Notamacropus eugenii: one gene and its partners. The protein of the gene in region 2 interacts with the protein of the main gene of each other region in a pairwise test. Links are inferred from orthologs where the notes say so. Each region holds a gene or a part of one and is shown on either strand. Other genes may lie near its edges. The genes, in order: PTPN12, PSTPIP1, CD2 and UBE2W.

What was found.
Region 1: the proteins of PSTPIP1 (region 2) and PTPN12 interact in binary tests that used the Homo sapiens proteins (3 or more experiments, as listed by UniProt). The link is inferred for Notamacropus eugenii from reciprocal best matches to the Homo sapiens genes PSTPIP1 and PTPN12.
Region 3: the proteins of PSTPIP1 (region 2) and CD2 interact in a two-hybrid assay, tested with the Homo sapiens proteins (2 studies listed by BioGRID and IntAct). The link is inferred for Notamacropus eugenii from reciprocal best matches to the Homo sapiens genes PSTPIP1 and CD2.
Region 4: the proteins of PSTPIP1 (region 2) and UBE2W interact in binary tests that used the Homo sapiens proteins (3 or more experiments, as listed by UniProt). The two-hybrid records come from large-scale screens. The link is inferred for Notamacropus eugenii from reciprocal best matches to the Homo sapiens genes PSTPIP1 and UBE2W.

The regions. Positions count from the first base shown.
Region 1 is NC_092874.1:153,756,056-153,763,969, forward strand, and holds the start of PTPN12 (tyrosine-protein phosphatase non-receptor type 12), read left to right. Parts: upstream 1-4,912; 5' UTR 4,913-5,375; coding exon 5,376-5,474; intron 5,475-7,914. UniProt on the Homo sapiens protein: Dephosphorylates a range of proteins, and thereby regulates cellular signaling cascades. Dephosphorylates cellular tyrosine kinases, such as ERBB2 and PTK2B/PYK2, and thereby regulates signaling via ERBB2 and PTK2B/PYK2.
Region 2 is NC_092872.1:256,747,257-256,754,846, reverse strand, and holds the start of PSTPIP1 (proline-serine-threonine phosphatase-interacting protein 1), read right to left. Parts: upstream 3,010-7,590; 5' UTR 2,844-3,009; coding exon 2,811-2,843; intron 1-2,810. UniProt on the Homo sapiens protein: Involved in regulation of the actin cytoskeleton. May regulate WAS actin-bundling activity. Bridges the interaction between ABL1 and PTPN18 leading to ABL1 dephosphorylation.
Region 3 is NC_092873.1:296,546,389-296,554,164, reverse strand, and holds the start of CD2 (T-cell surface antigen CD2), read right to left. Parts: upstream 3,016-7,776; 5' UTR 2,683-3,015; coding exon 2,622-2,682; intron 2,299-2,621; coding exon 1,993-2,298; intron 458-1,992; coding exon 203-457; intron 1-202. UniProt on the Homo sapiens protein: CD2 interacts with lymphocyte function-associated antigen CD58 (LFA-3) and CD48/BCM1 to mediate adhesion between T-cells and other cell types. CD2 is implicated in the triggering of T-cells, the cytoplasmic domain is implicated in the signaling function.
Region 4 is NC_092875.1:294,725,284-294,732,885, forward strand, and holds the start of UBE2W (ubiquitin-conjugating enzyme E2 W), read right to left. Parts: upstream 3,015-7,602; 5' UTR 2,955-3,014; coding exon 2,739-2,954; intron 1-2,738. UniProt on the Homo sapiens protein: Accepts ubiquitin from the E1 complex and catalyzes its covalent attachment to other proteins.

The DNA of each region.
Region 1 (7,914 bases), on a different chromosome or scaffold from region 2:
TGTCAAGGGCAAGATTTGATCATCTAAGCACTAGCTAGGCTGCCTCTCAGTCTCTAATGAAGAAAAATAGTATGGAAAATATGAAAGACAATAAGAAAAGCCAGAGGCATGGCCCTACAATATTGCATTGTCTTGTAATTAGTATTAATTGCAGCTGCAGTTAGCATTTATTGCATAACATACTTTGGAGCGCCCTCAGTGCAAGAGTATTTGTTTCATTCAATGCTGTCACTAACTATCTGGGTGACTTTAAACAAATCATGTTTTGCGCTTCATATTGTACAGATAGAAAAGTAACCCAGGATTTTTAAATTACAGACACGAAGCTCTGAGGATAAATTATACAAAGCATTCAAAAAATACTTTGAAATATCAAGCACTAGGCAAGTAATAACAGGAAATTTATTCTCTCTCTCCCTATTTGAACTCTCCATTTGAATGTGCCATATGTCTAAGATTATGGTATTACTATCCTAGATGATCAAGGAGAGAAGTAATGTTCCTCTTTTTCTCCACTGGCATTTAGATAAGTCCTTTGGATAAAGGTTGTTTTCCCCAATGAAACACACATTTCTCCAGTACCGTGGCACAGTGGATAGAGTGAAGGACCTAGAGTCAAGAAAACTCTTCTTCCTGAGTTCAAGTTTGGCCTCAAGACACTCGGTAGCTGTGTGACTCTGAACAAGTCACTTAACCCTGTTTGCCTCACTCTAGTGTCTTTGCCAAGAAAACCCCAAATGGGATCATGAAGAACAGGACAGGACTGGATTGACTCAACAACAACAAAAATGCATAAGGCATCATCCTAAGTGCTGGGATACAAGGACAAAATGAAAAATAGTCCTTGTCCTCTAGGAGTTTACTGTAAACAGGAGATCCAGGAGGGTGTAAAGATAAGAGAAGACTTTCCAAGGGAAGGGGCACATAAAATGAGCCCTGAATAAAGCTAGAACTGTAAAAGGCCTAGACTAGAAGCTCATTTCAGGCATGCAAAAGCAGGGAGGCAGGAACTGTAATACCAAGCTCTAGGAAGAGAAAATAAACAGTTTTAGCTCGAATGAAGAGTGGGTAATGTGTAGTAAACCTAGAAATGTAATCTGTAACTAGGTCTTAAAAGGTTTTACATGCTATACAAGAGGCAGTATGGCACTATGCTTTAGTGGAGAGATATCTATATTGAGAATTTTCTCATCAGAGAATTCTGTATTTCAATAAAATCATAAATCTCTTTCCTATTTCTTAAATGACAAGAGTAAGGGAATGGCATGACTTGACTTTGCTGTCTCTACAATCTCCTTTTTAGAAATCCCACAATAGAAAATACAATGTTTTCTACATGCATTAATGTAAAATTTCTAAGAAAAAAATAACATTCCTTTTTTAAAACCAATACTTCTTTGAGACCAGTTCATAAAGGAGGTGGGGGAGAAAGATTCAGGGTGGCATAGGCAAAAAGAGCCCTTTCTATTTCTCCTTTATGTTTATCGATTAGAATTTAGAGAGGATCAGGCGGTTTCCTGTATCAGAGGTTCAGAATGAACTTTCACCTATCTATATCTATAAAATTTATTGATATATCTAATTTATCTTTTATTCTTCTGTAATCTAATCTATTATTCACCTATTATCTAATCCAATTTTCTATCTTTTATTCATCTATCGTCTAATCTATCTATCTATCTATCTATTCTCCTTTAAAGGTGTTACTAGGGAGATACTCAGGAGTAGATTTAATCTCCTTTGCTAGTTTCACACACATGATTCCAGTACAAAAGCATAATGACTCAGTGGTTTATGCAACAAGCTGGAAACTCAGGCCCTGTGGGTTTCTGGCCTTGCTTCTGCCATTTACTTTCTAACATGGTGTAAGTCATTTTAAATCCCCATTCTTTAGTTTCTTCACCTGTACGATGAGGAAAATTCTATCAAATTGCTTTCCCGATGCATAAGAAACAATAAAAGTAATTCACAAATTGAGTTATAATGCTATGAAAATCACAAAATGCAAACTTTTCTGAGATAATAGCTATGAAAGTGATGTGAAAATTAAAATTATTATATAGTGTAAAGCATTATTATCAGTGCTAATGTGTTGAAAGGGGTACTAGGAACTTGAAAGAAGCAAATGAATCTGAAAATTCTTTTGGACAATTAGATTTATTCTTTTTCTCACCTAAACTTTAGTGAGAGCTCTGGAAAAGTAGCAAGACTCACTGATTTGCATTCATGTTCTTTTCTGCTTCTTGACAAATTATTCCAAATAGTGGGGCTAATGAGCAATGAAACGATTAAAAAGTGAGACCAGAGAAGAGAGGAAGAAAAGCAAAGAGTTGGGATATTAAATCCTTGAAGAATCATTAACTAACATCTTCAAATCCTCTCTGTCCACTGGATCTTTCAAATATGTTCTTCAAATATGTACCGGCCTCCCTATCTTGGGAAAAATAAAACAAAATAAAATTTTGACTAGATTCCCCTCCCTCCAGCCTATATGCTACTTTTCTTTTTACTTTAATTGATAATTTTCTCAAACAAATTGTCTATACCTGCTTTCCTCATTCATTCTTAACTTATCCCACTGAAATTCAGTTTCTGATCCCACCACTACATTGATTGCACTCATCACAGTCACCAGTATCTTCTTAATTTCCAGATCCAATTGCTTTGCATTTTTCTCACAAGTTTATTTTATAAGATTAAATATAACTGAAAACAGGACAATGAAAATATACGTAGGGATAACATTTAAAAGAATCTTGCATCTCGACAGGCTAGAGTAGAGGTGTCAAACTGGTTGCCTGTGGGACTCCAAGCGTGGTTGAGCTAGATTAAGATGTAAATGGGAAATGTTTAACAAAATATATAAAAAGACAACATAGATAATATTAATTTGTGGTTTTTAAGTCAATATATGGCCCCCAGGGATCCATTTCTATTTCAATTTGATACCACAGGTCAGAGCAGCAGGTTGAATCTAACAAGATAAAATTTAATAGTGAGAAACACACTTTGGGGGAAAAAAATCCACTTTCAAATCCAAGATGGGGAGTGAGGAGGGGAGGGCACAGTTAAACAATAGTTGTTCTTCAAAAGATCTGGAGGTCTTAGTTAACTACCAGCTCGATACGAATCAACAGTATGCTGCGGCAGCCACAAGAAGCCTAATGCAGTCTCGAGCTCCACTAAGAGACCCGGAGGTTTCAGCAGCAGGGCGATGACCTGCGTACCCTGCCCTCCTCAGACCTTCTGGGGAGAACTGTGCTTGATTCTGCATGCGGAGAGTGTGGAGAGCAGGGCAAACAAGACGGTCAGTGGCCTTGAGTCTGTGACCTATGAGGGTTAGTTGCAGCAAAGGTTGGAGAAGAGATGATCTGAGGCTGGGGAGTGGGGAACAGAATGGCTACCTCCAGATATCTGAAGCCCTGTCACATAGAGAAGGTAGATTGTTCTCTCTGGTTTCGCTGGACAGAACCAGGAAAGGGTGGCAACTGCAAAGAGGTCAGTTCAGGCTTGGCATCGGAAAAGACTTGCTAATCATGCCAGCTGTCTTGTTAGGGCTCTCGTAGAAGTGCTGGGCTTCTCTTCAAGCAGATGCCCACTGCATGGATGTTACAGTTTAGATTTCCTTCATATATGGGTTGGACTAGGGGGGTGCTGAGGTCCCTGCCCCCCCCCCCCCGACTGTGAATTATATACACATGTATAACGTATACATTTTGTTACGTGTGTAAAACATCTTTTTAGGACTGGATCTATGACGTCATCTGTTTAGGGAGCTCCTGGGGATGAACCCCCTCTTCCAACCAACCTTTCTGCATCTTACAGCCTTACAGAGTCTGGGCAACCAAGACGCAGAGGACAGCAGGCCAGCTCTCTATCCATTATAACATCCACCATGCCTGTTTTCTTCAGGTTTAGTGATCTGAGTGAGATGTTGAAAAGAATTTAAAAACTGGGGCATTGGAGGATGAGATTAGTGACCTTGGGCAAGTCTCTAGACCTCTCTCGCTCTCGTTTCCTTATCTCTAAAATGGGAATAAGAATGCTTGCAACCTTCTCCCGGAGCTCTGATGAGGAAAGCCTTTTGTCAACTTTAAAATTCTTCACAAGGGAGTTAACAGTAGTTGATGTCGGAGATCCTTTCGAGAGCTTAAACTTCTGCATTCTACAGTGCCGAGCGGTGCTGTGCTTGTTCAGTCTGCACGTTCCCCAAGCAGTATGAGCATCTTCCTCATGGGGCGGTTGAGGGGAGCAAGTAAGCTCCTCCCAAAGAGCTTCACCCCCATCTAGTGAACCCGTCAGCTTCATCCGTGCACTAGGAAACAGAGAAAGATTCAACGACTACTGAACACCTAAAGCAGTTTTTGACATAGCCACAAGAACCACAATTCCCAGTAAGCCCCACTCTTCCCAGGCCGCCTCACAGACACTATCCTCTTACACTTCGGCCCCTCCTCCCGCCATCAACGTTGCATGCTGGGAATTGTAGTTCTAGCTTAGGGATGGGGAAGGGGAAAGGAAGGAAGAACTTAAACATTTTCGGGAATGTATTTTTCCTCAGTATGGGGAGCGACATACTCTCGATCCAATAGAAGTCCTACTGGGTCCTGTAAAGGCAAAGCCCTATGAGATTACAAGAACTCTTCTCCGGGGGACCTACAATATCCTGGAGAGCAAATTCTCCGGATAGCCAATTCACCACCAGGATAGTGGAGGGGCGGAACCCCTGGCCCCGGAAGGAGAGCGGTGATCGCTCCACCAGTCAAGCGACGGGTCTTCCAGCCAGTTGGAACCCGAAGGATGGGACCGGGGCCGTGCTTTACATCGGAGATTGGAAGAGAAGAGAAGGGCCGGCAGGATTGACAGAGAGTTCCGTTTGGGGCGGGGCTGAGGTCGCGGGGCCGCGCGTCGCGTCGGGGCGGCGGCGGGGACGCGCGCCTGGGGAAAGAGGTCGACTGTGCCGGGCGGAGGGGGCTGGGCAACCTAGGGGAGTCGCGTCCCGAAGGCGGCGGCGGCGGCGGCGGCGTCTCTGGCGGAGGCGGAGGCGGAGGCGGAGGCGGAGGGCGGGGAAGGAGGATGGAACCAGCTGGGGGCTGGGGCTGGTGCTGAGACGCGGCGCTTCTCCCTTCGTACGGCTCCTGGAAGTTGTGCGGGTGTTCGCCGGACGCCGGTGCCGCCCCTGCCGCTGCCGCTGCCGGCCGGGCTTGGCGGGAGAGCAGGCGGGCGGGAGGGGCCGCCGGGGCTGGCGGTGGTCGGGCAGGGAGGGGGGGAAGGGAAGGGGGAGCGACCTGGGGAAGACGGAGCGCGCTTTGCGCCGGGCGGGCGGGCGGCGGCGGGGGGGCCAGCGGCCGCAGCCGCCGGGAGGACGCGAGGCGATGGAACAAGTGGAGATCCTGAGGAAATTCATCCAGAGGGTCCAGGCCATGAAGAGCCCGGACCACAATGGGGAGGACAACTTCGCCCGGGACTTCATGGTGAGTTCTGCCCCGCCCGGGGTCGCTTTGTGTGGGTGCCCGTGCCTGAAGAGGGGGTGTCAGCGAGAGCCGGGGGCGACGGGGCGGACGCCCACCTGCCGGGCGCGGGGGCTCCTGCGGCCGCGGGGGGTGGGGCAGCCGCCGCCCCGAGCTCGGGTCCCGCGGAGCGGGAGTGGCTGTGAGGCGGCGGCTCCCTTCGTCGGTCTCGGAGACCACCTATTGTTCCCCCGCTGCCCCCGCCCCGGACACCCCCCAGGCTCTGGCGGGGCGCTGGGGTAAGTGGCTCTGGCACCTTCTCGCTGCCCTGAAGCCCCTCCTCGGTCCGCCCAGCTTTTTGCTTTGAGTGTCTGGAAAGGGTCAGGGCAGCGGGGGCTTGGGGCTGGCGTTTTCTTCCCAGTCCTGGCGTTTCCGGGGGGGGGGGGGGTAAGGGAGAAGGGTGCAATCGGTGTGTAGGGCGCATGAAGCAACTCCATGGGGTGTCTGGAGCTCTGGGTGGTTGGATTGGGGGAGGACTGGACCGCGCCTGGGTATCGCAGGTTCTCCCCCAGGTTTGCAGGAGGCATCTCCTGGAGAGAACGTGTTCAGTGTACCAAGATGTCCATAGCTTCCTGCCTGGAGCCCACGTTATTGGGGTCGTGTGTGTGTGAGGTGGAGGACAGCAGGGAAATAATGCTGAAGGAAGCCTTTTCCTAGGGGATTTTGTGCAAGGCAATGGAGGGGATGTGAATATCACTTCCTATCCGGGGTGGGGGTGGGGAACTTGGGAACAATAGTTGGGATGGGGCGGAGGCGATGGTTCTCTGGGCTGGAGGCCTGAACTGGGAGATAACCTTCCTCACTCTTCCTCCCCCTTGTGCCCCCCTCCCATTCAGTGTCGGGGCTGGACAGATGGGAAGGACGTAAAGTTGTCTGCAGGTAGATGAGTTCAGTGAGGTTAGATATCTGGAGAAGGGGAGCTCATAAAGGCAACATCCTTCCATTTTCTATTCACCCCCCCCCCCCTTTTTTTCTGGACAATGACCCCTCAAGAATTATTTCCCGTCCTGGGAGGAGGCGGTGGGAGGTGGCCGGTGGCTGCTGTTGCTCCTACGGATATTGCGCAAGACTCTGGGGCGTTGGAAACCCTGGAGGTCTGAGGAATGGAGGAGGAAGCGGGACTTTGGGAAGTGCTTACTCCTTCCAGGGCTGGTTTGGGGAGAGGGAGTTAAAAGCTGAGATCTGCTTGGGAAGGATTTTGCTCCTGAGGGAGCATAGTCTCATAACTATATTTAGAAAATGAAAAAGATGTAGTGCTGGCATCCACAGAGAGGGCTGGGGAGAAAACATCCAAACGAAGAGAGCAGATGGATTTCTTTTAAGGTTCAGGTTATCCTTAGGCTAAAGCAAAGTACCCACTGACTTGAGGTTAAAGCTTTACTGCAGAATTCCCTACTCACATGTAGGGAATTTAGATGGTAGATTTTAAAATGAATTGTGATGACTTTACAGAGCCTTGTGATTTTTCGTGTTTTTTTTCCTGAAACCTGTAACATAAGATAAGGAACAAAGATAGGTTGATGACCATAATTTGAAGCTTATTTCGAAAATGTATATTTGGGCTGCAGTGATAAAATTTTACCCAGGAGAAAAAAAGAAAAGAGTGTATGGCAAGTGGTTTAACCCTATCAGCCGGAAATGGCTATTTTTCTTTGATTTGTGTGTTTCATTCATTCTTTTTCTGTGCTTTTTGAGAAATAGAGCTACATTTAGGAGGAAAATGTAAATAAGTTATTTTGTTTTGGTTTTTTTTGATAAGAATTTTCAGTATGTTGAGATAATTTGAAATGGAGTCATTCTTCAAAGTAACTGGGATTTGGGGAGGTCCTATTTTAAATTTTTTTTTACTACACCATGATGGATGAAGATGTTTACTTTAAAATATAAACTTCCAGAAATAATTTTTTTCAGTGCTAAGGAATGAAAGAAATAGAGGAGTTGTAATCTTTGCTCATCTCTTCATTTGTTTTCTTGTTATTCTAGCTCTTCTTGGATACTTTTATCTACTTCACTTAGATACTTGAGACTTTTTCTTATGAAGGAGAAGAATTACATAATTTAATGATTCGGTACCTGTAGCTTTATGATCATTACCTCAGGTTCAGGTTCCCAATACTAGTATATCTTTAGGGAAATGTGAAATACCTTTTGGGACTTTTCTTAGATTCCTTTGAGTTGTGTAGAGGCCGCTTTTCTCTCATTGCCCTGGGGAAGAAAACTTGTGTACTCTACGTTTTAGACACAAGCCTTCCAGGGATAAATTATTAATTAAACTATTTCATTTCTGAGTATATCTGCTTAGGGAGAGAGAAATAAAAAAATGTCAATCTCAGTTTGCTTCCATAATTATAAGGCATTGCTTGGTGACTCCAGTTCCAAGGTTTGATGACTAAGGTCTGTCTCA
Region 2 (7,590 bases):
CCCTCACCCTCAGTTTTTCAGATGAGGAAACTGAGGTACAGTGCAGCCTTTTAGCAAGGACAAAGAACCAGTGTCTGAGGCAGGATTTGAATCCAGGTCCTTATAACAAGTCCAGTGCTCTCTCTACTATTCCATAATACCACTCAAACAATGATAAACATTCAAAGTGGGATGGGTTCTCTCCAGAGGGAGGGGGCTTCCCCTTCCCCCAGCAAAGGAGAGATGGCTGATTTGACATCAAGGGGAATTCTTGTTTAGGTCAAGATGGATGAATGGACTCCTGAGGCCTTGCCCAACTCTGAGATTCTGGGGCTCTATTTCTGGTGGACCACAGGTGCAGGGTGAGCCCATGGCATGAACCAGCATCCCCAAAGCTCACATCATCTCAGGCTATTGGATAATAATCCCACTTCCCCAGTCAGACCTCGCCTGCATAGTAGGCTCCATTCTGGGTGTCAAGTCAGCAAGGGTCAGAGGAGGACAAAAGGGGCAGTGAGAGAGGCCTGGAAGCCACGCCATACCAACACTGGGCAGAGGAAGTGGCACGTTCTGAACTGGAGAAGAGAGGGCTTAGGAGGGAGTAGTCATTGTCTTCAGAGAACTGAAGGGCCTCCATGTCAGAGACCAGATCTGCCTGACCCAGTCTGGGGGAAGGTATACAGAAGCAGTTGAACTACCTGCAGAGTGACCCCCTCAGATCTCCTCTGTTTTACCCTATCTATGGCTAGGTTGAATGTTGCTGTTGCCTTGTTGTCTTCTCCATTAGACTGTGAATTCCTTGAGGGCAGGGGCTCTCTTTGGTCTTTTTTTGTATCCCCAGCACTCTGCACAGTACCTCGTACATAGTAGGTGTCCAATAAATGTCTATTGACTGGCTGACACATAGTAGACATTTAAATGATTGATAAGTGACTGGTTGGTGCATAGTGGGTGCTTAAATGCTAATTGACTAGGTGGCGCATAGTAGGCACTTAAATGCTTGATATCGAATTGACTGGTACGTAATAAGAACTTCAATACTTATTGACTGGCTGGCACATAGGAGGCACTTAAATGCTTGATGAGTGACTGACTGGAACACAGTAGGCACTTAAATTTGTTGACTGTATGGCACATAATAGGCAATAAATACTTGTGGACTTGAAGTACAAGGGAAAACTTCTTGATGATGACAGGTCTCCCCAAAATAGAACATGCCATCTCATAAGTAATGAACTCCCCAACATTGCTGGAGGTCTTCTGGCAGAGGCTAGATACTCCCCTGCCTAGGATGCCACAGAGGTGATTCCCATTCAGGCTCCAGATGGACCAGAGGACCTGGCAATGCCTATCTTGGGGGAAAAGGTGTCCTGTCCTCAGCTCCTACAATGCAGTGCAAAGTCAACTGGATTTCAAATCAGAGGCCAAGGTTACACTTTAAACTCTCAGCACTCAGTCTGTGCAGCACTTCACTTTTCTGTGTCTTGGTTGTCTTATCTGTAAAATGAGCAGGCTAGACAGATTGCCTCGGGTCCCCTTCCAGCTCCCAACCTATGAACCGATGACACACATATTGATGTAAAATGTATCACACAGAATCTGATGGTTTGCGTGGCCCTCTACTCATATCATCTCATCTGAGCCTTGAAACAAACCTATGGTGTCATTCAGCCAACCAGCATTATTAAGTGCCTACTGTGCGCCAAGCACCGTGCTAAGCATTATGAGGTAAATGCTCTTATCCCATTGAAAGAGCTGAGGAAACAGGCTCAGAGAGATTGTCACAACTCAGGCCACCAAACTGACGAGCATCGAACTCAGGTCATCCTGACCCCAAAGCCAAAACACTACAGACAGTGGCTCTCCTGTAAAATAAGGATGATTACCAAGGTCCCTTCCACCTTTTGATTCTATGATCCTCACCCTCACCTGTGGAACGAGCCACACACTAATCTTCAGTCAGACCAAAGGCTGAGACTTCGAGTCAGAAAGACCTGAGCTCAAATCCAGCCTCAGACACTTCCCAGCTGTGTGACCCTGGACAAGTCACTGAACCTTGGTTTGCCTCCATTTCCTCAACTATAAAACGGGGGTACTAATAGCACCTCCCTCCAAAGGCTCTTGTGGTAGGTGCTTAATTTTGCTTATTTCCTTCCTTCCTATTGGGCAAAAACCCTGATAATTTCTCTGAGCACAAGTGGCTCTCTGACCTTTCCTACAACATGTATCACATTTGAACCAGAAGCTGCCTGGCAGGCAGGACATCTTCCTCCATATATGGGTCACAGCCCACGAGAAGCCAAGGCCTGTCAGTTGCCAGGGGGCTTTCTCCTCTCAGTACCTGGCCCAAAGAGCCCAGAGGGAATCTAGTGTCCTGGAGAATCTGTTCCACCAAGGGGAGGAGGGAACACTGGTGGGGCGGGTCTGAGAGAGAAAGAGAGAGAGAGAGAGAGAGAGAGAGAGAGAGAGAGAAAGTCCCATGCCACCTGGATGCCCTGGATGCAGGCCAGGAGCAAGCTGAAGACTAAGGTAGGGAACAGAAAATAGAACCAAGCGTTTGACATTTAAGGGGAAAAAATGGCCAGTCCAGACTTTCATACATCCTCAGCCCTCTCTTCACCAAGAGGGATAAACAGAACTCTCACTGTGGCAGAAGCAAGAGGAAGCTGGGGGGAGGGGAAGGTCACTTCCAAGGGGGCCCTTTTCCTTCATTTTCTTCACTTAACAAACGTCAACCAAACACAGCGACATCTATTCAGCTGGAAAACTTGGGGAGGTAGAGGGGAGGTGACAGCCAGACCGTCTGGGGGAAGAGAAAGCCGCTCACTCACCCAAAAAGCATCTTTGAACTGCAGCTGGGTCATGGTGCAGCCTGGTTCTAGCCCAGGTCTCTCTGGAGCCGGCACAGCAGCCTGAAGAGGTCCCAGTCGGGCCTCTGACTCACCCCACTAGCCAAGGGGGGAAGAGATTCACCCCTCCAGTCACTTGAGGTGTTTCTGTCTGCTTCTCTCTCTTTCTCTCTCTCTCTCTCTCTCTCTCTCTCTCTCTGAGCTGTTGATGGAAACCCAATGAGGACTGAAGTTTAAAAAAAGGGGGCTGAACCTGTTTTGATTTTTTTTTTTTTTTTTGGTGAGAAGTCCAGAAGCCACTGAAATAAGGAAGTAGAAGCTGCTCCGTGATGTAAGCCCTGGGCCTGCCCTTGGCTGGACCTGCAGAAGAGCTCCCAGTACCTACAGAATCTCTTTTCAAAGTGATGGTCTCTCAAGCCCAGCCCAGAGGGCAGCCTTCTTCCCTTCAAAGGGAGGGCCAACAGTCAGAAACAGAAAGCAGAAAAGAAGACAGGAACCGGCAGGAAGGGTGTCCTCCCTCCCTCCCCCTGCCGCCAGCCCTAGCCCCCAGGCCTGGGCCTCTGCAGGAACAGTGCTGTCATGACATCTTGACACCATGCCTTCTTTTGCAATGGTGAGCATCCCCACACAGGAAATGTGGCTTCTCAGATGCCCTATGCAAGTAAGTTTCCTTCGAGGGCCCCCAACTGAATCAAGGAAATCATTGTGTTCAACCGCTGTCTCTGCCTTTCTCCACTTGGCTTCAGGGAGGTCCTGGGGCTGAAGGGGCAGACCAGGCCTCTCTTGAGGGCTGCTAGCATCTTCAGTGCATCTCTCACCCACGGACAGCAGCGGGGGCAGAAACAGCCCATCTTGGGGATTCCTTGTGGGGTCACGAAGGAGAAATGGCTCCCATGGAGGAAGGGAAGGCATTTGAGAGAGAGGGGATCGATCACAGGATCACAAGTCTGGGAGGTGTCATTTCCAGGCAGAAGACATATGGTCACCCCTCTCGTTTTATAGACAGGACACTGAGGCCTACAGAGAGGGGAAATAATTTGCCTGAGGCAACACAACTGGTAAACCCAAACCCAGGAATTAGACCCAAACAAGAGCACCAATAACTAGCATTTACACAAAGTTTTAAGGTTTACAAAGCACTTTACCAACATTATGTCATTTTTATCCTTACAACAACCACCCTGGGAAGTAGGTGCCATTATTATTTATTGTTATTCCCATTTTACAGATGAGGAAACTGAGGCACAGAGAAGTTAAGTGATTTACCCAGAATCACACCACTACTAAGTAATTAAGTCTGGATTTGAACTCAGGTCTTCCCCAACTTCAGACTTTCATACTTGTATCCACTGCCCCACCTCAGTGACTCTCAAATACTGCAAAGCCTGTGACCTCTGACCCAGACCATACTGCTTTTCTGAACCTTCAGATTAAAAGCCCTTGGACATCCTGACTTGTCCCTCCCCAGTAAAGCATGACCTCGGAGTCTCACAATATAAACCAGGTTTATACTTCCACTCTCTCCCAAGTAGAAGGTGGAGTGGGGATCCTCAAGGCTGACTAGAGGAGAAAGTGAGATTGGTGACTCTGCATAGCCCTGCCTCACTTAAATCCAGTCCACTTGCATGTCATGGCATCACCTCTGCAATGTCATGGTCATCTTCGAGAACGAAGGACAAACTGCAGCAACTGGGGAGCAACTTCTACTCTTGAACAGAATAACATGACCAGACCCACACTTTAGGAAAATCCCTTTGGCAGCTGATCAGAAGATGGAAGTGGAGCATATTGGAGGCTTGAGGCAGGAAACCAACCAGGTTATTCCAATAGTCCAGAGGAGAGGTGATAAGGGCCTTCACCAGGGTGGTGGCTGTGGGGGTGGAGAGAAGGGGATATTCTGCAGGTGAATGTCAGGGGTGAGTGAGGGGCAAAGCTGGGCAGCCAGAAAGATGCATGTGTTGTTAGAAGCCCTAGGGACGTCTGGAAGAAAAGTGGGTTGGGAGGAAAGATAACAGACTGAGATCTGGTCTCTGGGCTCACTGGTCCTGCGTGACTCATTCTATCCTCGGCTTTCTAAAGGGGCCTGGTCAAGGGCCCCTTGCTCCCTAGCCACCATAAAGAGTGAAGATCCAGCACAATCAACCCCACTGGAGCCACAAGGTCATGGGGGTATGCTGAGGGTTGGGGAAGCAGCTGCTCTGAAGTGATAGTCTCTGAGGGCCACCGCTTTCCCCACCCCCTACCCCCCCGCCCCCCCGCCCCACAGCATGGTCCGAGGTGGGGACATAGCCTGAGAGAGACAAGGCCCAGAATTGGGAGGATACAACAGAAGATATCTTCCCACCATCTGACTGGGGTCGAGCTACAGCTTCTCAGGGGCCCCCACTTTGGAGACCACTTGTAGAGGGAGATTCCAGTGAAGATATTCTCTCTGTTCATGAGCGTATAACTGCTGAGGACCTACAGCCAACATGGGTCAGATGCAGGATTTGAGCCCAGGCCTTCTGAGCTTCAAAGTCAGCCTTCTGTCCCCTGTGCAGCCTTGCCTTTCTATTGAGAGAGGTTATAAACCTTTATAGCCAGTGCTCTTCCTGCCATTCCGCAGACAAGATCATAGCCTTCGAGCCTCCTCAGACTGGGGTCTTTGACACCAAATTCATGTCTACTACTATACCCCACAGTGTGTTCCCAGACATCCAGACTACCCATGGAGCATGGGCACAGGGCATAGGTCTGGCAGCAGATCAGCAGGGAGCCCCTACTGTCCTTCTCCTTTTGTTCCTCCCTCCTGTGACGGTACCATGGTCACCCACCTTTTTTATGTTTCTCCCCCTTTACCTCAGCCCCTCGAATCCCTGATTTCCTTCAAGATACGATCCAAGTGCCACTTTCTCCCTCACCCTGTTCCTGACCCACAGCCCAGTCTCCCCTATTAGAGCGCCAGGCCTAAAGTCAGGAAGACTCATCTTGAATTCAAATCTAGACTCTGACACTTACGGTATGACCCTGGGCAAGTCATTTAACCCTGTCTGCCTCAGTTCCTTCATCTGCAAAATGGGAATCATGACAGCAGCTACCTCCCAGGGTTGTTGTGAGAGTCAAAGAAGATCATGATTGTAAAGTGCTTAGCACAGTACCTGACACATAGTAAGTTCCATATCAGTATTAATTGTGATTATTATCACAAGATGGAGAATCAGGAGAGCAGACAGCAACTTGGACTCCTCAAGTCCAAGGAAGGAACTCAAAAACATCTGGAGAAAAGTGGCAGCAGGGAGTACTGGCGGTTCTCCCTGGATATTTAAGGGAGTCAGAAAGGGGGAGGAGGCTGTTACATCTTGTCCGGTTTGTAAGTGCTGATGAGAAAAGAATTTGGTGAGAGTACAGTCAGGGGGAAAATGGTGTATTGGAAAAAGTGCTGGACTTAGCATGAAAAAGACTTGGATCTGAGATAAGGTTCTGGCATCTATTAGAGGTGAGCGTTTGGCCAAATCATTTTTGCTCCTCTAGCCATAGCATTAACTAGAGGGGGGTGGTCAGGGCTTTGTCTCAGGGCACCTAATACAAAAGGTGTTGACATCCTTGGGCAGCATAGAAACAATAAAGTACTGTGCCCAGCACAGTAAGAAAATTTCTTTAAAATAGGAAACTACCAGATGGCAAGCTGGAGCAATCTCCTCTGTTACCGTGCTGACACACTCCCAGGAATGATCTCATGATGGGGTCCTGAAGAAATCTGTCTCCCCTCTCCAAGGAATGATGTCTTCCTCTCCCCCTCAAATGAGTACATCTCATGTACCTCTTATTCCTGATGCAGAAATTCCTATTATGGCTCGCTCTCTGTCTCTGTCTCTGTCTCTGTCTCTGTCTCTGTCTCTGTCTCTCTTTCTCTTTCTCTTTCTCTTTCTCTGTCTCTGTCTCTGTCTCTGTCTCTGTCTCTGTCTCTCTCTCTCTCTCTCTCTCTCTCTCTCTCTCTCTCTCTGTCTCTCTCTCTCCCTCCCTCCCTCTCTTCCTCCCTCTCTCTCTTTCTTTCCTTACCCCCCTCTTTTTCTTTCCCCCCCAATGAAGGATTTAGATTAGATAACCTCAAAGGTCCTTTCCAGCTCTAATATTCTGTGATTTTGGAAGTGTGAGGGAGGGGCCAGCTGAACGTAGTCCTTGAGAATAAGGACATTTTTATTACTTTATTTAATCCACTTGCACACAGTAGGTGTTTAATGAATGTTTGTTGAATTGGAACTCAAAGGGGTGAGGCAGCTCCAGCAACCACAGTGCTTGGTTGTGGGACTTCTTCCTTTGCATCATCACTAGGGTGGATGTGGGCATTTGTAGTTCTCTGGTCAAGAGCTTGTCTCATGCTATCCCAGAGCTTATATGTGGAGAGAAATAGAATTCAGTAAGTGGTAATGTAAGTAGAACTTGAGAAGACAGAGATGATCAAAATGATAGAGAAAGCGATGGAGATGATAGAGAGATAGAAACTGAAATAGAGATGGAGAGTTGATATGGAGATAGAAACAGAGAAGTGAGACAGATACATGTATGTGTGTTGATAGGTAGGTGGATGGGTAAATACATAGATGAGATAGAGAGATAAATGATAGCTGGATTAATGGGTGGATAGATAGATGATATATAGATAGTTAGGCAAGTAGATGAGTGGATAGGTTGGTAGGTAGGTAAACAAATAAATGGTCAGGCAGACAGATACATAAAAAGATAAACAGACAAACACATAAATAGACGGATAGATAAATAGACA
Region 3 (7,776 bases), on a different chromosome or scaffold from region 2:
CCATAATACGGAGATAATAATATCTCTAGTATCTTTCTCACAGAATTGTTATAAGGCTCAAGTCAGATAAAGTACAGAAATTGTTTTTACTCATTTAAAAGCATACATATATATATATATATATACATTTATAACTATATAAATGTCAGTTATTATGGTTGTTATGAACATGGTTAATTCATACCCGCTGCCAACTACACACCTGTACAGGGAGTTTGGTCCACAATCCACTCCTCACTGGCTTGGTTTTTCAGCACACATTTGAATTCCCTTGGTAGTGGGTCGTTCTTTGGCCAGGTGTACTTGAGCCTCATGCCCTCTTTATTCAAGTTCCCCATCTTTAGAGGCTGTGTCCCATTATCAAACAAGATCAGCTCAGCATTAGTCCCATTATGAACCTCACAAATTATACTTCCCTCTGTGCAGTTCCATGTCATTTCTGGCTTTGAAACAGCCTCTTTGAAAAGAAAAAAAAATAAAACTCCATTTACTTTGAGAACATCCCTGAATGGAAAATTGGTTCTAGTTTGTGTAGCCCACATGGACTCAAAGCAAAGTAGGGATTGGGAATATGCCTCTCAGGCCCTGGTCAGGTGTGAAAATCTTATGGGTGACAGGCCACTGTAGTTCCATTACATTCAACAAACATTTTAATGCCTACTGCATTGCAATAGAATATAAACTCCATGAGAACAGGGATCACTTGTTTTTATCTTTATAGCCTCCTGGCCAAGCACTGTACCTTGTACATAATGTGTGTTTAATAAAGGTTTGCTGAATTTAATTTGAGAACACTGGGCTAGGTGCTGTGGGACATGAAAGATTTAGTTAAACCAGTCTTTCCCTCACAGAACTTACTAGTCTAGTGGGACCATTTAGGAATAAGTATTTCCCAAGGCATAAAAGGTAGAGAAGGTGACTAGAATGTGAATGTATACCTACAGTAAGATTTTTACTTAGCTCGAAATTAAGATTGCTTCCTATGATTACTGGGGAAGACAAAGGTGCTTTGAGAATGGAAATGTAAAAAAAGAAGTTACCTTGTACTATTAAGGAGAAGGGGGAGGGAAAGGGTGGGCAAGAAGTCCTAGAAAGAAAATACAACAGGATGCTTCATGAAATAATGAATTTTCCATGCCTGGTAGTGTGTAAGAAGTGGTTCAATAACCATATGTTAGTGAGGTTACAGAAGGAATCTATATCACAGGTAAGGTATCAAGCTAAGTGAACTATAAGGTCTTTTAATTGAGATTATTTGACCTTGGGAAGATATTGTATCATAACTGAGAGGGTTGGCTTTGGAGTTGAGAAGACTAGTGTTCAGGTCTGACATCTGGGTGAGCTAGGTGGTGCAGTGGATAGAGACCAGATCTGGAGTCATGAGGACCTGAGTTCAAACTAGCCTCAGACACTTACTGGTTGTGTCACCCTTTGGCAAGTCACTTAACCCCAATTGCCTCCCCTTCACCAAAAAAAAAGCTTGCCTCTGATTCATATTTAGTTTGCAACCCTGGACAAGACACTTATAGCAATTTTGATTAAATGTAGATGAGTGCATAATCTTCATTGGCACAGGGTACATCACACTAGCACTTTCCTATGCCGATGAAATCATAAAGTCTGGGCATATTTAGGGAATTCCATTCATTTTTCATTTCATGTCATCTTCCTCCTGCAGCTAACAAGTTGCCTCATGTAGAAGCCTGGGATTAGGTTACTGAGGACATGGGAAAAACAACAGAACGAGGCAAGAATTGGGGTGGGGGGAGATCACATGGGGAATCAGGTCATCAGAAGACACCTTCCTCATGAAGTACATGACATGAAATTTCAGCTGGAGCATCCATCCATAGTCAAAACCTTATCAGCTTCCCATTTGTTTCTCCACTAACCAGTCCTTTATTAAAATCCCTAGCCAGGAAAAGACCATAGAAATGTTGATTGCCTGATGGGCAACCACCAATGAAGGAGACAGAGAAAAGGAATACTCACCTATCACATGCAGAGTCAATTCTTTCTCCAACACATTTCTGCCATTTTTATCATACACTGACACCTTGTAGTTTTGCTCAGAGGTTTTCTGCAGTTTTTTAATTTTCAAGGTTCCATTTGGGAATATCTCATAGTTGTGACTTTCATGGTTAGCCTTGGGAATATTTACATTTCCTTTTGCAATCAGAGTCGATCCTTCATACCACCGTATATCATGTTTATCTTGGTCCTTCGGGAGATCAGGGATGTTCAAAAGGATGGACTGATTTAGTACACCCCAAACATCATTGTTTTCTGCCATGACATCTGTTAAAGAAAGCAAGGACATTGTAGAATCATCAGATATCAGGAAACCATTGAAGAGATTGGGTCCCCCCCAAGGTCCCAGAGCTAAAGAACAAGCGGTTGAGCTGGGTCTACACTGTAGGTCTTACCTGACTTCTAATCCAGTGCTCTTAAAAGGAAAAAGAAGACAAGAGAATGTACAAGGGGATAGTCCCACAAGGAAGAGAAACTGTTTCAAATCCCCTTAGATTTCTACACTCAGAAGTTTGGTTTTTTTAAAAGCAGCTTCTCTAAATATCTCAGGAAGATGGAGGAACCAACAGAGACCCAAACAGTTCACTTACCTTTTGGGGAAAAGAACAAAAGAAGCAGGTAGATGACTAAAACGTGACTTTGGAAGTTCATCTTTGGAAGGTATCTCCAACTTGGGTTACCCAAAATTCATCAAAGTGAGAAGTGGCAATTCTCCAGCAGAACCGCTTGTCTTTCTGTTTCTCCTACATTTGTATTTAAGAGTTCAAACTACTAAAGGTACAGTATTCTAATTTGGCTGGGTGGAGATAGGGGGATGGGAAGGGTGGAGATCAGGGGAAGGATGCCAAGCTTGCTGTAGGCACAAGGACAGAAAAAGAGTTCTCTAAGCATAAACTGTCTTCAAATGTTCAGTGAAGGGAAACAGCAGAATTATGGGGAGGAGTTAGAGTATTCAAGGTCTTCCAAAGTTCATTCTACCCTCCTGCTCCCCTTTACGGCTTCTTCCCCCTTTTTCACACAGACAAGCAGGAAATGGAGCTAAAGTGGGCACTGTGATCTCACAAGATCTGATCTGTTTTAAGACTACTTGAGTGCTAGAAATTACATTACTGGCGCCCACCAGAGACTTTCTTGTTTTTGTGGCTTCTTACCTATAAATAGTGCCCAGTCGTAAACCCTTTGATAATAGAGGAATGATCTCCTCTTGCTTTTGTGAATGGTCTAACCAATATTCATGGAGAGTTCGCAGAGTGCTTTCTACACATGATTTTGTTTGATCCATACAGTAAGATTTTTTTAAACTTGGGCAATATCTTTTTTTTCTTGTTATTTGTCACACCCATAAGCACTATATTAATCCCTCCAATTATTTGTCATTCTTTATTTTTTCACATAAGTACTTTGCAATGTTACCTTATCTTAAAATATGTATTTAGAGAAGCGATTCTTAAACTTTTTTTGGGCCATGGACTTCTTTGGTAGTGTGATAAAGCCTATGGACTCCTCAGCATAAGGTTCAGCAACATTTCTGAGGTGGGGGCAGCAGGTGCTATTATCCCCATTTTCTAGATTAAGAGATTGAATGTCAATGAGTTTAAGTGACTTGCTTCATGGAAGTGCCAGAGATGGGATTTGAACTCAGCACTTCCAAATTACAGCTCCTATATTCTATCCACTACAATATACTGTTCCCACACCATCTTCCTCACTTCCTCATCCTGCCCTCTCACACTACCCCAACCCAGTGTGTCTGGAAGGGTTTGTATTCTAGCCTTTGACCGAAGGTTTAGACCATAAGTTCTTAACCTTTTTTGTGCCATGAATTCCGCTGACAATCTTGGGAAGCCTATGGACTTCTTTTCAGTCATGTTTTTAAATATACAAAATAAAATACACAGAATTACTAAGAATATAGGAAAATACAGTTATTAAAATATTTTAAAAAGCAAATACAATGGTCTCAGGTTAAGAACCCCTACAGGTTAGTTCCTACAGCATTCTTTCTTTCATTTCAATTTGGCAAACATTTAGGCCTGTATCCTGAGTACTGAGCTAAGCAGAGGGGACAGTTGCACAGTATAGATGGAATAATTACACTCAAGTAGGAGAAATATGACACATATGCAAATAACTATAATGCAAAATAATAAATGATAATTCCTAAGAGAGGTGCAAAAGTTATGTGATGTCCAAGGGAAGAAAGGTCAGTGCTGACAGAGAGCATCATGGGGCTTTTGGAGGAATTAGGTCAAGATTCTTTTTGTTGCTGTCAAAAAAAAAAAGAAAGAGAGAAGATCAAAGGATTATGGATTTAATGTTGCAAGGGAGCTTAAGGTCACCTAATACAATACCCTCCTTTCAAAAGGAAAGAAAAGGGAGGTGAGGTCCAGGGGGTGAGGGGACTCATCCAAGGTCACCCACACAGGTACGAAGAAGCAAAGTCATTATTTGAACCCAAATCCTCTGATTCCAAAAGCAGCACTGAACCTGGAATGCCTTGGCATCTGGAGATGCAGAAACTTGGAACTTCAAGCCAAGGTCTGTGTATGACCACTGAACTCCAGCGGATAACAGAGGAAGGGGAAGGTTGGTAAAATGTTACATTTACTAAAGGCAAAAAAAAATATAGGGGAGGGAGGAAATTAATCTACCTGGAAAGCAATCAAACATCAAGAAATCTACCCCACTAAAATAACAAGCTAGACCCCAAATTTTCATTTTGATTTACCCCATTATTTATGGACTGTCTCTTGAGTATGAAACATGGTGCTCCTCACATCCACTGGGATGTAAAGTGGGAATGTGTTTTGATGGCACCATTGGCTATGTGAACAATTGAAAGGACCCAGAATTGACAGAATCGCAGAATTTTAAAGTTGGAGTAGTCCTCAGTGACCATTTAGTCTGACTCAGGCCCCCAAAAGAAACTCTCCTATAAAAATCCCCCAAAGTGCCATCCAGCCCTTGAAAACCATTAATGACAGAGACTCCTGCAGTCACCCTTTCTGGCAGTACATTCTCCTTTTGGATAGTTCTCTCAGGAGGTCTTCCCTGACATCAGACCTAAATGTGCTACTTTATGACTTCCACCCATTTCTCCTGGTCCTGTCCAAAGAACAAATTGGATCTCTCCTCCACTTAACAGACCTGAAAATACTTAGCATTCATGTTCCCCACTGAACCTTCTCTTCTCCAAGTTAAACAGTCCTAGTTCCTTCAACCTATCCTATCTTAGGTAAAGCAAGGATTAAGTCAGAAAGTTCTAAAAGGGCAAGTGGAAGAATGGGAACCTAGATCAAATCCAGCCCAGGTGAGTGAGCTTCAAGGGTGAGTTGCCCTTGAGTCCATGCATTGTCCAAACAAACTGCCCTGTTCTAAAGCACCGTGAATCATCAGTCCATTGGGGAGAGTTCATTCTTTTGAAATTTCAAAATGTGTTTTGTAGTTATAAGGGAACTGATACCCATAGAACATCTCTTTTAACGGGAGAAAAAATGAAAATAGAAGCAAAACTCAGGGTTGATCGCAGATGGTGTAGCAGGAACTGCCCCGGCTGGGTCAACTTGAACATTTTAGAGGACCTGGCTTCAAATCTCCTCTGTGAGACCTTGGGCAAACCACGTAACCTACCTTAGCCTTTGTCATACTCATATTTAAAATGAACAGTTTTGACCACATGGCTTCTGAGGTCTCTTCCATCTCAAAATTTATGATCCAGTGATCCTTTTCCTCTCTTTAGCTCAATTTCCTTCTCTTGTAAAATAGGGGATGGACTTAATCATCAAGGTTCCTTTCCAGTCTAAGATTTAATAATTCTGTGATTTAGTTCACCTGATCTTCTCAACTAAAAAGAAAAAGCTTCTGCCCTACTTAACATTTGAAACATCTTCATCTCTGTGTAAGAAGGCTAGGAGATATCAAAATAAGAATCCTAACATGGGCAGACATACTCTTGCTGCTGCTGACCCATTCAGTGGCCTCCAGATCGTCTTTTCTTTGGTACCTTTGAGAAAGGAAGACATTTAGGGGGAAATTTAGGAAGGCCAACCAGGGTCAATCAATACACATCTTTTTTTTTTAATACACATCTTTATTACACACTTAATATTCATGTTCATAGGTGGGTAGGGATGCATATAATTTATGTATGTACACACATATATTTACATATATACATATGTGTATTCACACACATGCACACAAACATACACACACACTCCTGGGGGACAGCTAGGCAGCACAGTGGATAGAGTACAAGGCCTGAAGTCAGGAAGAACTGAGTTCAAATCCAGACACACCAGCTGTATGATCCTGGGCAAGTCACTTAACCTCGTTTGCTTCAGTTTCCTCATCTGCAAAATTTGCTGAAGAAGGAAATGGCAAACCCCTCTAGGATCTTGGCCAAGAAAACCCCAAATAGGGTCACAAAAGAGTCAGATACAATTGAAATGACTAAACAACAACAACATGATACAAAATGAATACAAGCTATTTTGGGGAAAGTACGCTAGCCATTGGAAGGATGAGGAAAGGTTTCCTATGGAAAGTAATGCTTGAGATGAGTCTTGAAGGAAATCATGGGTTATAAGAACCAGAGGTGATTGGACAGTGTATTTCAGACCCCAGGGACCTGAAATATAGAGAAAAACAACAGAGAAATACAATAAAGAGAAGGCACAGTAACAGGAAACTGAATGTCAATTCTTGGAATGGTGAGTAAGCCACCATGCCTGGACCAAGTCCAAGAAGAGTATGGCAGGAAAAGACCAAGAATGTAAGAAGGGTCAGGTTATAAACATATTGAAATGTCAAATAGAGGAATTTATTTTTGATCTTTGAAGTAACAGGGAACTACTGAAGTTTATAGAACAAAGGAATAACACAATCTGAACTGCTCTTAAAGAGAAGCTTTTGGCAGTTCTTTGGAGGACAGATCCAAATGGAGAAGCTTGAGGCAAACAGATGGAAGGCCATTGAGACAGGTCGGGTGAGAAGGAATGATGGCTAGGGTGATGGTGAGTGAATGGGAGGAGGAATGGATGCGAGAGAAGTTATGAAAAAAGAAACAAGACTTGGCAACAGATTGGCTAGAGAAGTGTTAGTGAGCAACCAAGGCTTGAATCAGAGTAAGTGCAAGGATTCAGCCCCTAAAAGTCTTCATATACTGCTCTTCTCAGTGGAAAGAAGATTGGAATAGGAATCAAGGCCTTAGACACCAGGCTAAGTGAGCACAGCTGTGTGATCCTCAGCAAATCACTTAACCCTGTTTGCTTCAGATTCCTCATCTATAAAATGAACTGGAGAAGGAAATGGCAAACCACTCCAGTATCTCTGCCAAGAAAACCCCAAATGGAGTCACAAAGAGATGGACACGACTGAACAACAAATCCCCCCAAAAGACCTTGTATAATATAGGTAGCCAAATTTTTGTTGAATTGAATTAAATTATGTACCTCTGTAACTCTCTCTACGTTGCTCCTACATTTTTCTCTTTTTCTATCATTGCCAGTCCTATTATGTACCCTTCTTTACTTTTCTCCCCTGTCCCTCTTAATTAACCATAAAATAGAACTGAAGCATATTTTTAAACATTTTAATGGTGTTAATATTTTGGTGTTAATATTTTGCATATTTATTGTGCTTTTAAAAGTACTTGTTCTATTCAACAAGCCCTTATTAAGCACTTACTATGTGCCAGGCGCTGTGTACATAAATAATTGTAATATTTTTAAATTATTTGTTATA
Region 4 (7,602 bases), on a different chromosome or scaffold from region 2:
TACTAATAGTAAGAGAAATATAAAATTACAATAGCTGAAATTACCTAACACCTTGCAAAATTGCAAAAAGAAAAAAAAACAGTCAACATTAATGGGGCTGTGGGAAGGCATGAACATTAATATTCTGTTGATGAAGATATAAAGGGAAAGGAATAAGTATTTATATAAGTACCTACTGTGTGCCAGACACTGTGCTGCGCACTGGACAAACAGCTCATTTGATCCTCACAATATTTTTGTAAGGTAAGACCCTGTTATTATTCCCACTTTACAGCTGAAGAAACTGAGGCAAAGAGACATTAAGAGACTTGCCCAAGATCACATAGCTAATAAGTGTGTGAGATGGAATTTGAACTCAGGTCTTCATGACTCCAGATCCACAGCTCTTTCCACTGTACAAATTAGGTGCCTTATCCATCAAATGGTTTGATAGCTCTGGTTATCAATTTGGAATTCTGAAAGAAAAGGGAACTTAACTGTCCATATTCTTTGACCTAATGATCCAGCAAAACATTCATAGTAGCACTCGTTATAGTAGAAAAAAAAAGTAAACAATGATATAGATTCCATTGACTGGGAAACGGTTGGGAAAAAAAACCAATTATGCTGTATGAATATTATGCATCCGGAAAAAAGAGATTTATATGACCTTGGAGCACAAAATAAACAGAACCAAAGAGTAACATATCTCATGACTACAACTATAGAAATGAAAAGATCATTTAAAGGAAGTTGAATTGAGTACAGTTAACTGGAAAAAAAATGAAGGATCCAAAGAATATATAATGAAATATAGTTCCCTCCTCACAGAAGCAGGGAAATGATACTAGGCTAGAGTATTGTATTGTAAGATATAGTTATTGTATCAGATGTTATTTTCTAATTGTTTTAATTTGTTATAAGGGAGGGCCTCAATCTGAAAGGATTTCTATACTCTAATCATCCCATCTTCCCTTTTAAGAAATGACCAATGTAAAAGACAAAAAAACATGAATAAAATCATCTTCCAAAATAGTCTTGTAGACTTAAATTTCAAGGTTTTTCTATCATTCAAGAGACTTGACTTTTCTTTATGATCAAAAGCAAAGAAAGTGTTAAGGCTTGCACATCAGAGAGTGTATACCAACATTTTAGAATTTCAAATGCAGGGGATAACTTTAGTGTTAGAGATTCCAGAATAAAATTTCAAATATATTTCTAATTAACAAAAACAAAACCAGTTTTCTTCCCCAGTTAGCTAGTCTAAAGTCACTAAAAGCTTTAGGACAAAGAGTGATGCTTGGAACACAAAACATGCATACACATACACATATACATATACATACTGTGTGGACTACATTTTTCATACTGCCTCTGTCTGTCAAACTCTAAGTTGATAAAAATTGAGTTCTGTCCCAACTTGGTTTCTGCTCACAATTCAAATTTCCCTTCTCATTTTCAAAAAAAAAAAAAAACCAGTTATAATCTTGTCTTTCAGAACCTCAGATCTAATTTTACTCTTAATATTTTGCTGCAAGTCACTATCACTGTAATACACTCTACCAAATAATCCCATATGATAGTTTTTCCCCCACAATAAAGGTTATTTGAACATTTAGTTCAAATTCTATTTAACATAGGGTTTCTCCCTACATTTCTCCTTCTGAGTCTTAAATGATAGATGGACTTTCCATCGATCCTCCGTGATCAAACTCTCCTGAGTACTTAATACTCCGAATTTTTTCCACATATTGAACTGACACTTTCCCCTCAAATTAATTTAATTACATCTTTCCTTGTATTTCTTCAACAAAAATAAATATATAACCTTTTGTGTGTTGCATGAAAGAGTAGGGAAGGAAAGGCAAGAGAAAAAGCACAGAGAATAATAAAAGGAGAATGAGGTAAATGGGAACAAAGATGGTGTGTGCACAAAAGGGGAAGGATGCAGAAAAGGGAAGAGGAGAAAAGGAAGATCGTGTTGTCACAGCTTACAAAGAGAAAAAGCTGGGAGGAGTTTACATTTTTCAGAAGCCAAAAAACAAAAGAGCTATTTTTAACGGCGTGAAGCAAAATGAAGCAGTTTTGTTCCCTGAAGAGTTAAGTCCTTAAGCTCCAAAAATCCTGAGCTGACAGCTCACACCTCGGACTTAGTTTCTCTTCCAAGCAACTAACATTTTCGTAATTCTAGTCACCTTTGAATGAACACATGTGCCATCCATTTCAACGAACTAGAACACTGCCATCTGTCCAGGCAGTCTTCGGACGGTACAGTATCGATAAGGGTCTCTAACTCCTCATCGAAAACTCCAGTGGAAATGACATTAATAAACTCCCACTAAAAAGCGTTTCGCTAAAATGTTTGGAGAAAGGAAAGCAGAGGACGGTAAAACTGCGACCAAGGTTAAAAGTAGGGTACTTAGTTCTGGGGGCCGGGGGGATTACACATCGGGTGAGGAAGCAGCAGAGGAGCCGGTACGTGAAAGTTTCGGGGAGACCCAGACTGGAGCATTATTGGGTGAGACTTTAAACAGTGGGAGGATGTCCTACATAAGGTACGGGGCAGGGGAGAGCCAGAGGCGAAGGCTGCCGGTCAAGGGAGTGACTGTAGCTACAAGGAGCACTGGATTCAAGGGCGAAGGGGAAGGTATTTTACTCATAGAGGTGGGGAGCAGAGGCAGCGGGAGAAGAAGGGAAGGAAGGCGGCCAAAGGAAGAGCCTCGGAGGCCCGGCCGGAGCCGCCGTCCCCGGGGACCGACCTCGGGGTCTCTCGGTCTCTCCCACTTGACACAGATCCTCCCTCTCACTCCGGTCTGGACGCCGAGGCGGTCACGAAGCCCACGGGGAAAACAGCTGTTTCCTTTCGGGACAGGGAGAAGGGCAAGCAGGGGAACCTGGGCCGTGAAGGCAGAGGGGAGCGGCCGGGGGGCCACGGCTCGGGCCAACCCAGCCCTCCGCACCCTTCCCCCCACCATTCCCCCAACTTCTCCGGCTCCGGGGTCGGCTAGGGCGGGCCGGTGGTACCCCGCCTTCCCCGCGGCCGCCGGGGGCGAGGAGAGGCGGAGCCGGCCCGGCGCCGCAGACCCCGGCAGGCTCGCAGCCCTCCGCTCCCGCGGCCGCCGCCGCCGCCCTCAGCCAATCCCACAACCTCACCCCTCCTCAGCCGGGCGTTCGGATGCCGCAAACTCCTCTCACCTGCATGGACGCCATGATGGAACCATCCCCCCTGCCCGGCGCAGCCAGAGACGCAGGAGGAGGAGCCGCCGTGCTCGCGTCACGCCGCGGGATCCCAGGATCCGGGCTTGGGGGCGGGGGGTCGGAGACCGCAGGAGAAGGGAGAGCGAGATCCGGATTGGCCGCTGGGCCCACGAGCCGCGAGAGGGGGCGGGCCTAGGTGGGGGCGGGGCGGGAGCCCCGCAGGTGCTCACAGTTCCCTCTCCTCCTTCTCGGTCCTCTCCCCCCACCCCCCAGCCATCCCGGCCCAACGTCCGAGGCGGCCCCGCCCAGAAGCACCCGGGAAAGAATGAGGGAGGGGGAGGGGGAGGACAAGAGAAAGCGGGGGAAGGAGTTTAGTGCCAGGGCCCGGGAGGGCTCCGAGGCGAGATGCGGGGAGCCGGCTGGCCTCGGTCCGGGGATTAGCTCCTTCTGGTCCCCGCGTTCTGGACCATTCGTTTCCTCCTGACTTTCACAGTCTCGCGGCCCCCGCCCCCGGGACCCTGCCTTAGTGTGGAGCTAGCCCCGGAGGTCTCCACGTCCCCGCGGGGCGGTAGGACGAGGGGTAATCAGCGGAACCGGTCCGCCGAGATGAGCTGGGATGTGCCCGAGGACGTGCCTGCAGAGGCGGTGGGTCCGGCCCGCCCCGCGCTCGGGGAGCGCTGCTGCCGGGGCGGCCGCGGGGTCAAGCGCCGGGAGGACGGAGAAACGCCGACAAGCCCCCGGAGCCGCCCCGACCCGCCGGGCGCGGGCCTCGGAATCCTGCCGCTCCCCGGGCGGAGGCATTCCGAACTCACTGCACATCCGTGCTGGTGACTGTCCTCCGAAGTGTAGACTTTGCAAGTGCTGGCACCATTGCTGCCTTTAAATAGAGGACAGAGTCGGCGCTGGAGAGAGGTGGGGAGCGGTGTGTGAATGACTCTGAATATGTGGATCTATTTTGTTTTTTACTGTAATTTCTGTTACACATACGAACCTGTCTGAACTTCGGACGTCTGGGGATGGGGGTGCGGGAGGCGTACAATCCACAAGATCTCCCTGAACATTCGAGATCTGGAGGATGAAAAATGCTCTGTAAGAAGCAAACCTTCACCCAGGAAAAAACTTCAGACTGTCATCCGTGAAAGCAGCACGTGTATGTGAACCACCTAGGTAATGCTGTGCAAAGCAGACGCGAGTACTTCAGATTTAAAAGTATTCTAAAGTTAGAACGGTGTCTTTTACTTCTTATATTTGTCTTTATTTTGAAAAAAAATAAAAAACTTCCCATGAAATTTCAAAAGTGACTTTGAAGAAGAAGGAGTTGGAAAATATACTAATTATTCTTCATTAACGTATAGGATTTGTGATTGTTCATATTCAAGGGGGACATCTCCAAATCTTATGAAACTACATGGTTTTGATGTCAAAATATATATTCTCAGCTACAGCAGCGCTTGCTTTTACTTGCTAACTTCCCTGACCGCGTAGATTAGAGAAACTGGTTGGTTTTCTCTGTCGGAGAAAAATTAGTCAATTTTATCAACAATAGTCCGGAAGGCATGTAGTCTAAGCTGTGAAAAGACAGTTTTGTCCGGTCAAAATTACTACACTGAGAGGGAAGAAATATTCAATATTAAAAAAAAGAAGAAGAAGCTTAACAATTAGAGCTGAACTGTCAAACATGAATACCTAGACAGATCTAGCACTTTTTAAGGCAAAAATACTTGATGATCCTATGTTCACAAAAAAGGGTAATGCCTTTGTTAATGCCTTGACCCCAAACCTTATGGATGTCAATAAGGAAGAGACATTTTTCAAGAATCTGGACAAAATCATAATATCACTATCAAATCTGAAGTTGTTGGTCATATGAATTTCAATGTATTTGTTAGCAGGGATGCTAAATGCGATGGAGAAGTCATTGGAGAAATCAGAAAACTATAGAACCACAGAATTTTCTAGCTGGAAAGGTCCTTAGAGATAATTTAGTTAACTTATTTAATTCTTTAGGCCAACAAGGTGTCAGTAGTTAGAGTGCAGGGCCTGGAATCAGAAAGACTCTTCTTTTTGAGTTCAAATCTGGCCTTCACACACTTACTAGTTGTGTAACTATGGGCAAGTCTCTTAAACCTGTTTGCCTCAGTTTCCTCATCCATAAAATGATTTGAAGAAGGAAATGACAAACCACTCCAGTATCTCAGCCAAGAAAATCCCAAATGGGGTCACAAAGAGTCAAACATAACTGAAAACAACTCAACATTTAATTCTTTAGATGAACAGCATAGCAAGTACCAGCCACATGTTTCATTTATGACTTGAAATCTAAGGAACTGACAAGACCAAATGATCTAGTTAGATATTCAAAATACATTCAGAGTCATATATTATATATATGTATATATGTCATATAATATATGGTGCAGTGGATAGCGCACCAGTGCAGGAATCAGGAGGACCAGAGTTCAAATCTCACCTGAGACACTTGATACTCACTAACTGTGTGACCTTGGGCAAATCACTTAACCCCAATTGCCTCATCCTGGGTCATCTCCAGTCATCCTGATGAATATCTGGTCACTGGATTCAGATGACTGTAGAGGACAGGTGAGGCTGGTGACCTCACAGCCCTCCCTCACTCCAAACAAAGTCAAGTGCAAGTCATGTCATTATTTCTCTGATGGCCTAGTCTTCTTTGGCAATGAAGGATGAACACACACACAATATAAAGCCCCAGAATATTGATATAGGTAGCAAAGAATATTATGCCTTGGATTAACTAATGAAAAAAGCATTTGTTAAGTTAAATATTGTCATACTTTCTGCCAAGCACTGTGCTGAATGCTTGGGCTACAAATAGAAAAGAAAGACAGTCCCTGCTTTCAAAGAACTCACATTCTAACTGGGGAGACAATGTATAGAATTTACTTTCAGGACAGATGATCTTTAGAGTACAGTGGCAAAGCAGTCAGTAATACATCTTTAGTGTCATTTCCATTGATAAACCAAATCCATTTCTGATTTTGACCCTTTTTTTTCTGTTGCCAAGGATTTTAGTGGAGAGAACTTTCTTTTCTGGGGTTTCAGGAGTTTGGAAACAAGTAGACCACTCAATTTCCAAATTAAGCAATAGAATCCTACTGGATTAACTAATTGACTAAGTGCACTAAGGCCTCCTTTTGGTGATGTGAAGAACCCCTTATACAAGTACTAAAAATAGAATATAGTTTGTTGGACCTGAAATATTCATTCAGGAGAGGGCTGTTGTTGTTACCAACCTAAGAGCATCCCCATGGGGAATTTGAGGTACTTGGAGAATTGTGTTCATCAACTCATTGTGGATCTTCATTAAGTATCTGCACTTGAGACCTGTGTGCACCTGTCCCAGAACAAAGGAAAACAGAGAAAGCTGAAGTGTCTTATCCAAGGACACACAATGGTATTCGGTGGAATTTGAATTAGAACCCAGCTCTCTTTCATTCAACATTCATTCAGGAAACTTTCATTCAAAACAGACCTCCACCTTAACGATATCTCATAGTGCCAAGTGACAGCAAATAATTAATTACAAGCATCATCCTCGGCCAAACGCTATTGTACTCAAAAAACTTTGGTGGTTCTCTATTGTCTCTAAGTAAAATACAAACTCCTCTGATATTTTAAGCTCTTCATAATCATATTCTCAGAATATCTCTTATATGGGTCTCTACTCACACAGCCCCCATCTTGGTTCAGGCCCTCATCACCTTTCCCCTAGAATTCCTACAGTCTTTCCCTGCTCTAATTTATTCTTTGCTCAGGATTCAGTCATTTTTCTAAGGCATCCATCATGCCACACTCCATACCTAATAAACTCCAGTAGCTCCCTATTAGTTCTAGAATCAATTATAAAATCTCTTTGGCATTTAAAGAAAGTCCTTCATAACCCCTTCTTACCTTTTCATTCTTCTTATACTTTACTCCTCTCCATGTTAGTTTGACCCAGAAATACTAGCCTATTTACTATTTCTGGCACATGACCTTTCATATCCAGCTTCTGTTGGCGTGCTCTGGCCATACTCTCACCGCCAGTCCCATTCCCCCAGTGCTGCTTTTCCCGATCTCCTTCTTTTCAAATTCCTGGCTTCTTTTAAGACTCAGATCAAATACTACTTCTGCAAGAGGCCTTCCCCAGTATTTCCCTCCCTGACATTACCTACAAATCACAAACTCCTGAAGACAGGAACTGCTTTTGCCTTTCTCTCAATCCCCAATAGTTAGTCAGTGCCTGACATTGTAAGTTCTTAACAAATGCTTATGGACCTATTTTTTAAGACTTATTACTGCTATTCTCCTTATTGTGTTCCAACTGCTTTCATTCCACAATCATTTATTAAGATCCTGTAAGAGAAAAGTTTTAATCAACTATTAAAGGATGTAAGATGCAGCCAC